Drosophila melanogaster: one gene and its partner. The protein of the gene in region 1 interacts with the protein of each later gene in a pairwise test. Each region holds a gene or a part of one and is shown on either strand. Other genes may lie near its edges. The genes, in order: bap and CG8319.

Region 1 (6,687 bases):
GACGCTTTGTACTTTGTCTTCGCTTTGTACTTAACCATATCAATGTTGGCCAAGTTATTTGAGTAAAGCATCGACCCCACCCCTTGGTGCTATCACCAAACTATATTTCACTGATGACCGACACTAAATCCTCTAGTCGGAGTCCTGGCGTCACGAAGTTGTCGGTGTCCAATGGCGGTGATGAAGTGGTTTTGGGGTGTGAGCTTCTGGCGGCCTCGGATGGTGGCTTTTTGAACGAATGCCGCCAGCGCTAACTAATTACTTTATCGATGTTTTACGGTTAAATTTATCTTTCCGCGTTCTATTTTTGTTCTCCTGCTAGATAAGAATAACTAGCACATCCTATTCCCAATTCTAAGTTAACCTCAAACTTTGGAAAATATGTCCCCTTTTCGGCATCTGCATTAATCTATGAGTCAAATGATATATTCAAAAATAATGAACCTTTGTAGAATTTTGAAATTCTCCCTAAATAGTCTCCATATAAAGTCTCCGACTTAAGCAAAGACTAAAACCGCTGAAAGTGTAGACGTGTACAAGGCTCTGTTGAACAGATGTAGAGAATTTTGTTGTGTCAAATACTTATGTTTTTTATCTCATCTGGTCACACTGAGCTGCCGTTTTAAAAGCGATAAAAATTAACATAATTTCTTTAAGTGAAATTAAGCAATAAGACATTTAATTGTGTGTCTGGATAAGCAGAACTAGTATTTAGTGTTCCATATTACTACTGTAGCGTATTTATATTTTGAGCATTATAGTTGACGACAGTATCGATATTATCAAGATCGTAATAATAAAAAAGTAGGTCCTGTTTTAAGCCAACTGACTTATTAAATTAATTCATTGTTTACCAATTTTTCTGGCATACTTATTTTTAACTGCTGCTTATGTATGGTTTATGCTGATTATGTAAGGAATCATGAAATGCATGGCTCACAACCCAGTTTACAACACAGATAGTAACCAATTAACTTTAATCACGTATTTTATTTTAACACATAAATATAAAAGAAAATACATTTTATATTATAAAAATACATGAATACTAATATTGATATTATTTTCAAGAACGGAATAAGCAGCCGTACTTATGAATTTAAATATTTTCTATTTTGTGAGAGACAAAATCAATGCAAACTTAACGTAGAAAAGCACTTGTCCCCATTCAACATTAAAGTGGCACAAGGAGATCAGGTTTCCCAGCCAGATCCATGAATGGTAATGAAAAGCAGGGAAAGGCAAACATTTGAAGTGGCTTTTGATAAACCATTAAATAAAACTCAATACCACAAGGACAACAAGTCTGCAAGAATTCTGGGCGATGGGCATTCGGAAATCAAACAAGAAACTGTCGAATTTAATTGAAAATGCCAATTCATCATAGGGGTGGGATGGATTTACTCGGCCCCCTCCACTTTTATGTAATTGAATACCTGCTCCATTCGAGGGTAATCGCATCAGCAAAAGAAGCTAACAAAATTAGCGACAACACAAGCGGAGAGTCGCGTCTCTTGGGCGCGTGCGTCTGCCACAAGCATCATTATATACTAATTACTCGAGTATTATCGAAACCCATTCAGGCGAAATGGTATAACGAGTAGCAGTTCCTGCCCCGATCCATTCCAATTGCACACCGCACTTGGTCCTGAATTGGTTACTCAAATCTGACCGCAAAACACGGAACCCTCACCCACTCACCCCGCTCACTTCCATCACTTTCGCGCTGGTCTTCCATTGTTGGCTTGACTTTGCGGCGCCCGCGGCTTTAAGAGCCACTGAATTGGCAATAAAAAGATTATAGCCCGAAGGTGTGAAGTGCAGTGGAGAGCAGAAATCGCACCGAGATCCGGAATCAAAAGGCACAAAAGCCACCCCAGGCGGCGAGGCGATGAGAACGCGTGCTCGTTTCGCTCGGATTTGTTCCCAGCATCCGAACATCCCAGCATCCCACATGCCACTCGATTCGAGTGAATCAGTTGAGTGCCTTTCGGACTGAGTGGGCAGCCATGTTGCCACAGCCTCCGGGCATCCAATCAGCGCTCTTTGGGCTCCATGCCAACCAATGAGAAGAACTTACCTTGAGTACTCTTTGAGTGATCTCTGGAATATTTGCCCAGGTTAACTACTTAACCAGTTGCTTATAATGTGAACTATAGTTTCTGAAATCTCAGTCTTAGCCATTTTCGCTGGTTTGATTTAGTTATGTTCATGTTAAAAGCACTATTATTTTAGTTTCATTTGCTTAGTTAATACACATTACGGCCTGTATAAAAAATTATGAAACACTTTGCAAATAAGTGCCTAAATTTTTATCTATTTTAAAACTATAAAACCATCTGTTTTAGATTTTATTTATTAATTTAAAAGCTATGTAAGGTAAATACTTCATATGGCTTTCTTACTTTTCCACCAGCTGGCTGGATTTATTAAAATAATATTTGGTTCAGTAAAATAATTTATAGAATTTTAAGATATTAGCTGCCTAATAATTTGTCATAATGTAAGCAAGTGGCATACGTGATTATATTATGTATTGTAGTTCGAATGCTCGACTTGAAGTAGGCAGCTACGAAGAAATATTTTTGGTTAGACCCATTAAAGTATTGTTTAGTTTTTGGCTAACGATTCCAAACAATCCCATGACCCAACTAACCTACTTACACTAAAAAGTTGGAGTTTACGGTTGATTGTTTCCGAATGATTTAAATTCTAAACAAATCGTTCGTTTAAACAATGAGTTGAGATGGGAATGGGTTTAGTATGTAAACCCATTCGGAGGACTGTACCCAAAATGTGGAAGACAAAACACCGAGGAGCAGTTAGCGGGCTATAAACAATAAACAGGATGCATGCACTCCCCGCGTGTTAAGGCGCACCATACAAGTACGTGGCAGCAACCGTAGCCATTTACGACCGACTTTGTTTACGCACTTGAGAGGAAACTCAAAGGCTCTCCAGCTAGGTTTCGGATCCACCAATGGCAGGAGTCGAATGCCAGTTTCCACCCCCACGGATGCCGGCGAGCCACTTGAGTACGGCGCACATTTCCACTCCGTGAGACCGAGTGAATCTCGCCGGGGATCTCGGCTACTATTTAAAGACAGCCCGGAGCGCCCAGTTGAAGCACATTCGCTGCGCAGCCCTCGAGTCGTGAAGATCGGAAAATCAATAGAAATCCGTAGTGAACAAGTGTCGGAAAGGCCAAAGACAATACCTATATATATATATCCGAAATATTCAGAAAATTCGAAAAATGCTGAATATGGAAAGCGCGGGTGTCAGTGCTGCGATGGCGGGTCTGAGCAAATCGCTCACCACGCCCTTCTCCATCAACGATATCCTAACGCGCAGCAATCCGGAAACACGTCGCATGTCCAGCGTGGACTCCGAACCGGAACCGGAAAAGCTGAAACCCTCCTCCGATCGCGAGCGATCGATCTCCAAGTCGCCGCCACTCTGCTGCCGAGATCTCGGCCTCTACAAGCTGACCCAACCCAAGGAGATCCAACCAAGTGCCAGGCAACCCAGCAACTATCTGCAGTATTATGCGGCGGCGATGGACAACAATAACCACCATCACCAGGCAACGGGCACATCGAACTCCAGTGCCGCCGACTACATGCAGCGCAAATTGGCCTATTTTGGATCCACCCTCGCTGCTCCTTTGGACATGAGACGCTGCACCAGCAACGATTCCGGTAAGTAACCTGCACGAAATTAACGCCATTCAGGCTCTAATGGACTCTGAAAAGAACGCTACTTATTCATTGGCCTTTTGTATAGGATGTATGCTAACTTTTGGTAATTTTCCCTTTACAGACTGCGACTCACCACCGCCATTGAGCAGTTCCCCCTCGGAGTCGCCGCTATCCCACGACGGCAGTGGATTGAGCCGCAAGAAGCGGTCGCGTGCCGCCTTCAGCCACGCCCAGGTCTTCGAGTTGGAGCGCCGCTTTGCCCAACAGCGCTACTTGTCCGGTCCGGAACGCAGCGAGATGGCCAAGAGCCTGCGCCTGACGGAGACCCAGGTGAAGATCTGGTTCCAAAACCGCCGCTACAAGACCAAGCGCAAGCAGATCCAGCAGCACGAGGCCGCCCTTTTGGGTGCCAGCAAGAGGGTTCCCGTCCAAGTCTTGGTGCGAGAGGATGGCAGCACCACCTACGCTCACATGGCTGCTCCCGGTGCTGGACACGGCCTCGATCCCGCCCTGATCAACATCTACCGCCATCAGCTGCAGCTGGCCTACGGCGGACTTCCGCTGCCACAGATGCAGATGCCATTCCCGTACTTCTACCCGCAACACAAGGTGCCGCAACCCATACCGCCACCAACCCAGAGTTCCAGCTTTGTGACTGCATCCTCGGCGTCCTCATCGCCAGTTCCCATCCCCATCCCGGGTGCAGTGCGTCCCCAGCGAACGCCGTGTCCCAGTCCCAATGGCCAGATGATGAGCGTCGAGAGCGGAGCGGAGAGCGTTCACTCGGCGGCGGAGGATGTTGACGAGAATGTGGAGATCGACTAGGTTGGGAGTGACCATGTCTCGGAGGAGAACCGGGGCTACGTTTTTGTGATAGCCGTAGAAATTGTGTTTTAGCCTCTATGTGTAACCAATAGATGTCCCATAGCTTTAGTAGCATTAAGTTGTAGTCGTATCTACCCGAGAGCTAAATAAAATTATGAATTAAATAAAACTTGGTTTTTGTTTTGAGTTTTCTGCTTCACTTGAATTTCTTCACTTCATGCAGTTAAAACAATGCAGTTCGAAAAACGATAATCAACTTATCCTGGAAGAAGTACAAAGGTTTATAGTGATTTATTGTGTGTTTTATAACAATACATGTTCATATATTTCAACGAGATATATTAACTGATTCTTCTTTGAAGTCGCCTTATTATATAGTTAGCAATTGATTGGGTTTGTTTTTCCTTTTTCACAAAGGAATTTACAATTATTTACGTTAAACTATTCACGTTAAGGTTCATTTTTAATTTTAATATGTTGGCAAAGGAAACAAACCACGAAGTATCAATCTACAATAAATAGAGGTGGGATCTCATTGCTAGATTTTAAAATGTATTTAGTATTTTAAAAGAGATCTGCTTTCTGAAAAGAATACATCAAAAGGCGCTTAGCCACTAAACGATTGTTACATAAATTAATACCACATGACCTCAATTCGCATCAGCGGGCGGGAAGGCGAGAGGCTTCTCAGACCCTTCAGAATGACAGCGATCTGGCGGATGAGGGCCTCGAGATGAGATCCGCTGAAGTGGAATGCGTGTGGCCGGAGCCTTGCGAAAGCCGAAAGCCGCTGATGATGACCGACTATGACGAGCCCACTCAATGACGACATAGAAGTGCTTCAATGTGTCAGAAAGGTCGGGCCGGACGTCTGCGACCCACAAACCACTGACTTACATACGATGTTTCCCGGGCGCTTTTGCACAATATCGTCCCGGGTGGGATGGAGGAGGAGGAGGAGGAGGAGTGGGAACGGGATTGGGATCGGAATTAGGATCGGAATTGGGAACATAGACATGTCCTTAGCGGCACAGTTGGTGGCTGACGACACAAGGACCTGCCTCAAGTGCCCGGCGGCGACAATTCTAACGGCCGGCCGACCTGTTGATGTTTATAAACAAACAAACAAATAGAATCACCAACTGACGCCCAGGATCGGAAAAGGACATGTGCCCAGTGGAAATTGTCGACTGATCGACTGATCATTGCTAAACATTCACTTCAAAAGGAAACAATGTCGTTAGAAACAATGTTGCTCGTATTTCCAGAGAAACATTTTTAAATATCCCCTAAAAATGTTCACCCCTTTCACAAATAAAAATATTTAAAAAAATATGTTATATAAATAATACAATATCTGAGATTTAAGGATAGAAGGATAAATGAAACCTTTTAATTATTTTTTCAATCGGCGCCTAGCGTATGAAGCCTCGGAGTTTTTCCACATATTTTCTAAAGTGCTGAAAATTTTCGAAAGTGGGGCATTGAACGTGCTGGTCTGGTGACTGCCAACTGAAAAAACATTGGTATGAGGAGATCTCTAAGTACGTATATTGCTCTTGGACGCATTCTTAGACTAAAAGCACGCAGGCATTTGACAAATTTGGGACACTAAAATCGATTGACAGCTGTAATTACTTGGGTAAATAACAGATACAGCGGCTTGAGGATGTATCTTTTTGCCACTGTGCTCCCAAATTCTTGTCATATTTTATATTTCTGTTATAGATTTGTGTATTTATTTAAATTATTTAAATTTTCTGTTTTAAAATAAACACGAGTTACTGGTCCAAACTATATGATTTCCCTTCTACGTTCAGACACGGACTGTACCTTTAGAAAACGTAGGTGCTTCAACTTTCTATGTGGATTCTTGGGATGAAATAGTTTTAAAATGTGTTTTTAAATTCCGTTTTTGACTCATAAAGACCTAAATAAATTGAATAAATCTAAATTGCTAAAAATTTGATGTCGTGCTTTTGATTTCCATAGAAAATCGTACATTTTACTGATTATATTATTCTTTAAATTATCCACAGGCAATTAGGAAAGTGCAACGAGTGGGAAACAAGACTGAGTGTTTTCTGAATTTTGAGTGAGTTTTTCGAGGCCCGCCCCATTCCGCACACTCGGCAACCAATAACACGCATAATTCACGGAC
Region 2 (6,547 bases), about 12 Mb from region 1:
CAACAGCAAGCGGGTTAGCGATCCCGGCCAGCTGGAGCAGTCGCCGGACTTGGAGCTGGAGCAGGCGCAAGTGCTGGAGCAGATGATGATCTACCAAAGACTGGAGCAGCAGCTGCGCAAGAACAGCGGCGATGCCACCAATTACAGCAGCTCGAGCAGCATCACACTGAAGCGCAGCAATTCCGGCAGCGACAAGCAGGAGAGGAGCGACCATCCGGATGACGACAACAGCGACAGCGACGAGAGCGGCTACGTGGAGTTCCAGGAGAAGGAGCGACCGGGTCAGCAGCCGCTGATCAGCGAGGCAAGCGTTACGCTGGCCAAGATTGCGACCGTCAAGCCGCAGGTACCACCAAAGCCGGCTCCACGTCGCTCGCTCAGTCTCAACGCGGTGGCCACCGGCGCCTCAGCGGGCTCATCCGCTGGTAAGGCTCCGGGCACCGCTGTCTGAGCGAAATGCTTTAATTACAACGGAAACCCGTCTACAAATTGTTATTTCTGCACACCCGTCAGCGACCATAGCAAAACACAAAGTGCAAGAAATTGAAATCCTAGTTGTAGATTAGCTATTAGCACCTAGTCGTTAAGTCATTTGTTGTTGGTTCATCGAGAGGAAAACCTAACGATATTCGCCCATCCCCCATTTTCCATCCCATCATCTAAATCTGTGCCCCTTGATCCAAAAATAATGAATTTATATTGTACGCATTTGTAAATAAATTAGTCGCCCTACGCACTGCATGTACTATATACATTTACACGATTGTCATTGATGAACTGTATCTTACTTATCAATATAAATTATTATCTGAACGGTGTGTGTGCTGCACAGAGGAAAGTGTGAACAATAACAATTGGTTAAATTATATATATATGATATCAAAATTTGATTTATGTTACATTTAGAACGAATTATAGCCCTAAAATAGAAAGAACCTAAACCAATTTTGTACTGTTTGTTCTCTGTGACCTTATTGATTCGCTTGTGATTATATCGATTCCATTCCCCCAGAGGACAGGCATTCTTGTGCGTTTATGAATTTTAATTTCATTCCAAACTTGAGGCAATTACATTGGACATTTAGCAGATCTATCTACTGGCAGATTGTGCTGCTGCTGGGCAGCAAGTTTTGTTGACGCAACATATAACAAACCGTGCCGCGGAAATCGCGCAGCGAATGGTCCTGCAGCTGCTGATCGAAGACCTGTTGCATGTGGAAACGAATACGAATGTGAATAAGAAAACCAGTTGAGTGCATTCGATTACGGCGACGATTGATCGCGGCTACTCATACTTACGCCATTGTAGACGATGGTGGGAATGAAGCTCGGGCTGTACTGTTTGGTCACCAGCTCCGCCTGCAGCTGCAATTTGGTGCCCGTCTCGCTGGACAGGCAGTGGACCACATCGGTGAGCAGGCCTGCCTCATTGGCACACTGCGTATGGAATGGTAAAGGTATATATAATGGGTACAATGCACACAATGGGCGTTAATCAGTTGGGCAAACACAGCACAACGAGTACGCGGAAGGTAGATTACCTGATCAATGCGGGAATAATCCGGAGCTAGCATCTGGCACACCACGAATTTAACCTGCGCCGCCTGGTTTGCGGTGCTGTTGATGACGCAACTCTGGAGGCGATTGCCCTTGCACTCAGCCGGTCCGTGCTGGCAGTGGAAGATGGCACCATTGCGCTCCGACTGCGATTTTCCGAAGGGCACTAAGAGTATATCAATGTAGTCCCCGAACTCCTCGTAAACGGGTCCTAGCTGATGCATGAAGTTCCTGCTGTCCGGGCACAAGGACTCGTAAAGGAGGGTGATGTGCAGCTAAAAAAGGAATTATTCAGTCGAAAGATAAAAATCATATGATGCCTTTCACCTTAACTATTAATTAGGCTTCGCATTATACCAGTAATTATTCATTTTGGGCTACTGAATAATTCTAGAATCTAGATTCAGATAAATTTACATAAAGAAAGTAGTGTTTTCTTAATCATATTACTAGTTCTAGCCGAATTTAAATAGTATAGAGAACACAGCTTAAAAGAATTTGTTCACTTAATGTAAACAAAAAAGCCAAAGGCGTTGGATTGCAATCAAACCTTGTTGGACTGGCGCTTCTCCCGTGGCTTCTCCTCGAGCTTCGCCCATCCGAGGGACAGAACGAGAAGCAGAAGGCTTGCGGTGGACGCCAACTTCGTCATCTTGTGACTAGTAATTTGAGCTTTGGTTAGCCAAATCGATCGACCTTCGACGAAGTGCGGGAATGAAGGCTTCTGTGTCCGCAGCGAATGCCAAGCCCAAGCTAACGCGACCGTCGGACTCGATTTTAGTTGAGCAACTGAGCGCCGCCGTTTTGTCACATTCGGTGCTTAATTTTGGCTAGCAGCGAACTGGGAACGGGCAGAGCTGTTTTACCACCTCTCATCGACGTTCTCGCAGGCAAGCCGGTTTCTTGACTCAGCCTGATTTCGATTTAAAAAGCTTAACTAAGCATTCATACATTTAACGGATTCGCAATACGATAATTAACACTTTTGGCTTAGTGCAAATATTGGGAAGAAGTTACTATGAAGGCTAATAAACTTTTTATTACTTGTCAATAACTATGCTATTATATTTATTGTATTATATTTATGTACTTCTTTGTTAGATAAGCATAATTTAAAGATACAGTATCTCACCTGTTTCATATTCAACTTAAGCTGCTCCTTGATTTCCTGGCATATATTTTCAAGTACCGAGTAATATGTGAAAGTCTGCCATATCAGAAGAGACAGCATAAAGGATAGTATTATATTCACACTTAGTCTGTTCATGTCTGCAATAAATATACCAACTAGTAACTACGTTTTCCATATCAAACTAATTTGCATGGCCAATTTCACGGAAGCGTTTAAAATACAATTATTTGCTTTATTTGAGTCTAAACGGTGTAGCGCGAACTATTTAAATGCAATCGATTGGCGACTGTGGCTACAGTTATCGATAGATTTTACTTTTAAAAACCGTGACTCAATGAATCTAAATTATCAACTATGAATTATAATGAATTACTATTTTCAATTTCTTGTTATTTTATTAACAACATAACTTTGCTTACCTTTCATTTATAAATACCGTGATCGAAAATTGGAGTCACTAAAGTCACGGCAGAAAAGTTCATCTCTATTAAGCCAAAGCCAAACAAAGAAGCACACAAAAGTTTATACCATAGTTTATTGTTTACCAAAAATATGACCTGTAGTTAAACAGCAGTTAAGCAATGGAGGACCTGTGTCGAATTTGTGGCGGGGCCTCGGAAAACATGCTGGGCATTTTCGACGATCAGGTGGAAGAATATGTTGATGGAGCCAAGCTCGCTGAGATGGTGAAGACATGTGCCGACGTGCAGTTGGATCCCGACGACGCTATGCCCCAAAAAATGTGCATTTCCTGTGTCCACGATGCACGAACTGCTTACGGATTCAAGCGAAGATGCGAAGAGAACTACAAGAAGTTCTATTTGGCGATATTAAATGGGCAGGTCATCAAGGACGAGCCCAACGAGGAGGATTTCCTATTCATTGAGAACCCAGACAAAGGCAATCTGGAAGCAAAGAAGAAACTCAACAAGGAAATTAAAAAGACACATCAAACAGCTTCCAGAACAACCAAGTCTTCCATAACAACCAGTAGAGCTGGCAGACAGCTAAGGAGTATAAAGAATCAGACTTTCAAATGCGAACTATGCATCAAACAGTTCAAGCGCCAAATAAACCTCCTGGACCACATGAAGTAATTACAATCAATACATATGATTTCACCTGTTCTTAAAATTGTATATCTCATTCCACAGGGTTCACAGCAATTCACACGTATGCCAAAACTGCGAAGAGCGTTTTCTGTTCAAGGCCGATCTGGATAACCACCAATGTTATCGCAATAGCAATTCCACCGTCGAGTGCCCGGAATGCTTAAAGGTCTTTTCAAGCACCCAGAGCCTGGACAGCCACAAATGCAAGGATATGCAGGAGCGTTCGCCCTTTCAGTGCCCCCACTGTCAGCAGGCCTTTACTCGCGAACAAAACCTCAAGGCGCACCTGTTGATCCACGCGGAATCGAAACAGGGAAACGGACCCCACAAATGTTCATACTGCCAAACGGGATTCTTCAACAAGTCGGCCCTCAAGGTGCACATCCATGCGCACATGGGCGAACGGCCGCATGCCTGTCCCTTCTGCGTGTCCAACTTCCGTTCCAAGCAGGCCCTTAAGGTCCACATCCGCATACACACGGGCGAGAAGCCCTACCAATGCCCCCACTGCCCCAAGACTTTTTCGGACAACAATAACCTGGCGAAGCACCGACGACGCCACTCGGATGAACGGCCCTACAAGTGTTCCATCTGCCTGCAGGACTTCCGGGAGAAACATCATCTGAAGCGGCACTTTCTGGGCAAGCATCGGGATGGAGATCAAAAGCTAAAGCTAAAGTGATACCTTAAATTCTTGACCAAATACCACGGCTTACTCGAATAAATAAATTAGGATTCGGTTATGTTTATATCTCATTGTTTCTATAGTTCATATTGGGATTTAATTGAATTTAGGATTTATATTTTCGTAGAATTCGAACAGCACTTTGAAAACCATTTGGAGTGGCAACACCGTTTTTCTGTAAATCAAAATTCGATGTAGACACGACGATATAGACAGCGTTGCCATTCGGCCGTGATTTGTTCACGTGGCACCACCATTTTGATAAACAAGCTAAACAACCCTTAAATCGCTCGAAAAGAGCAATGGAAAAAAACAACAAGTTGTATGTTTATAAATTATAAGTCTTACAAATTGTAATTGTGGTTTCCGTTTGCTTAGAACATCAAAGCAGCTACCAACACACAAAAAATACCGAATATTTCTCGACGTAATTTTCCCTAGACGTCCTTACAATTCGTCGTGTTCGCTTTGATCTTTGTCTTGCTTAGATTCATCATCCTTCTCCTCATCGTCATCATCCTCGTCCTCATCGTCCTTGTCGGAAGCCTTTTTCGCCTCCTCCTCGTCCTTCTTGCGCTGCACCTCATCCTGGGCCTCCTTCATTTTCTTCTCGCCCGCCTGGGTGTTCTTGACTTCGGCAGCAGCCTTAGCGGCCAGCTCCACGTCGTCCGTGATCAGGACGTTGTCGAAGATAGTGCCGGACTTGACCTGCCAGAGATCGAAGCCCAGGGTGCAGATCTCCTTGCGCAGATACAGCTTGTCGTCGGGCACATACTCGGGATTGGCGATCTCGGGATGCTCCCAGGCGCCCTTGTAGTTGGGGTTGTCCAGCTGCTTTGGCTGCCACTCGCCCTTGAACTCAGGGTTGTCGATCATCGGTGGCTCCCACTCGCCGTCCATCTCATCGTCCCAATCCTCAGGCTTTGTGGCATCTGGGTCGGGAATGTGCTCTGGTTTGTCCCAGTCCTCGGGCTTCTTGTCATCGGGATCGGGAATGGTGGCCTACAGAGATTTACGTTGTTGTTTAATAACAATGAGCCAAACCGGTTTTTCGATGGGCTAAAGTCTGATTTGGGCGGGGATTTACAACTTACCCTATCGTCCCAGTCTTCGGGCTTGGTGGCGGTGGGATCCTTGATCTTCTTGGGGGCCAGGAAGTCCCAGTCGTCCTCCAGGTTGCCAGACTCCACCTTCTCGTTGTCGATGAGCACCTCGTACGTGTTGTCGGGTCTGACAATCAGCGTGTAGAAGTGGGTGTACACGTCATCTTTGCAGCGGATGTCTTTGCTGATTAGGTGGTTCTTGCCCTTGTAGCTGAAGATCACATGGACCTTCTTGGTGCCGGGTCCGCAGATGTCCGGGCCGAACATGATCTCGTACGGCGACTCGCCGTGCATGTCGGTCTGGTCGAGGGAGCAGTCGAACAGCTTCACATAGCCGCCGCCGCAGTCGATATTCTGCTCGTGCTTCACGGAGAACTGCACCACGAGGGGCTTGTCCTCGTTGGAGAAGCCATCAAACTTGCGGCTGGCCGCGTAGAATCGAGCATCCTGAGAGGTCTGAATGCCTATATAATGTGTGTCCACATCAATACGAATGCGCGCCGCGCGGAGGTGGGGGGCGAGAAAAAATGTGTATACAGTTACTATAGCTACTCGAAAACGTACACGTAGTGGTTTTTCTTCTTCTTCCTCTTCTTCTTCGTGCCCATGTTCTCCGCATACACGGGCACATACAAATGCAGATAACACGCCGACGAAAAATAAAAATGGCAGAACGAGCGAAGAGAAAGATTTGGAAAAGGGAGTGACGACACATCGACACATATACGCTACCTTTGTCGGCCTCAGCATCGTTGTAGAAGGTACCGGGGGTGAGGACGAATTTTCCGAACTCCTTGCCAGGATGTTTGCTGTAGATCCACGTATCCTCCCAGTTTTCTACGGGAACAAGCGGGGGAGTGCTTTTATTATTCTTCTATTTTTATTGTCTCTCCTTTCGTTATTCATTGAAGGGGAGCGGAGGACCACATGGCGGCCATAGAACGCGATGACTACCACT

The links.
Region 2: the proteins of bap (region 1) and CG8319 interact in a two-hybrid assay, tested with the Drosophila melanogaster proteins (one large-scale study listed by BioGRID).

Annotation. Positions count from the first base shown.
Region 1 is NT_033777.3:21,385,759-21,392,445, forward strand, and holds bap (bagpipe), read left to right. Parts: upstream 1-3,121; 5' UTR 3,122-3,256; coding exon 3,257-3,701; intron 3,702-3,822; coding exon 3,823-4,526; 3' UTR 4,527-4,691; downstream 4,692-6,687. UniProt on the Drosophila melanogaster protein: Involved in the determination of cell fates in the dorsal mesoderm.
Region 2 is NT_033777.3:9,624,128-9,630,674, forward strand, and holds CG8319 (uncharacterized protein), read left to right. Parts: upstream 1-3,193; 5' UTR 3,194-3,270; coding exon 3,271-3,782; intron 3,783-3,843; coding exon 3,844-4,483; 3' UTR 4,484-4,549; downstream 4,550-6,547. Other genes in the region: CG8312 (uncharacterized protein), read left to right, coding at 1-451; CG9427 (uncharacterized protein), read right to left, coding at 1,095-1,205, 1,300-1,437, 1,542-1,832, 2,108-2,209; Calr (calreticulin), read right to left, coding at 4,934-5,488, 5,581-6,053, 6,322-6,426.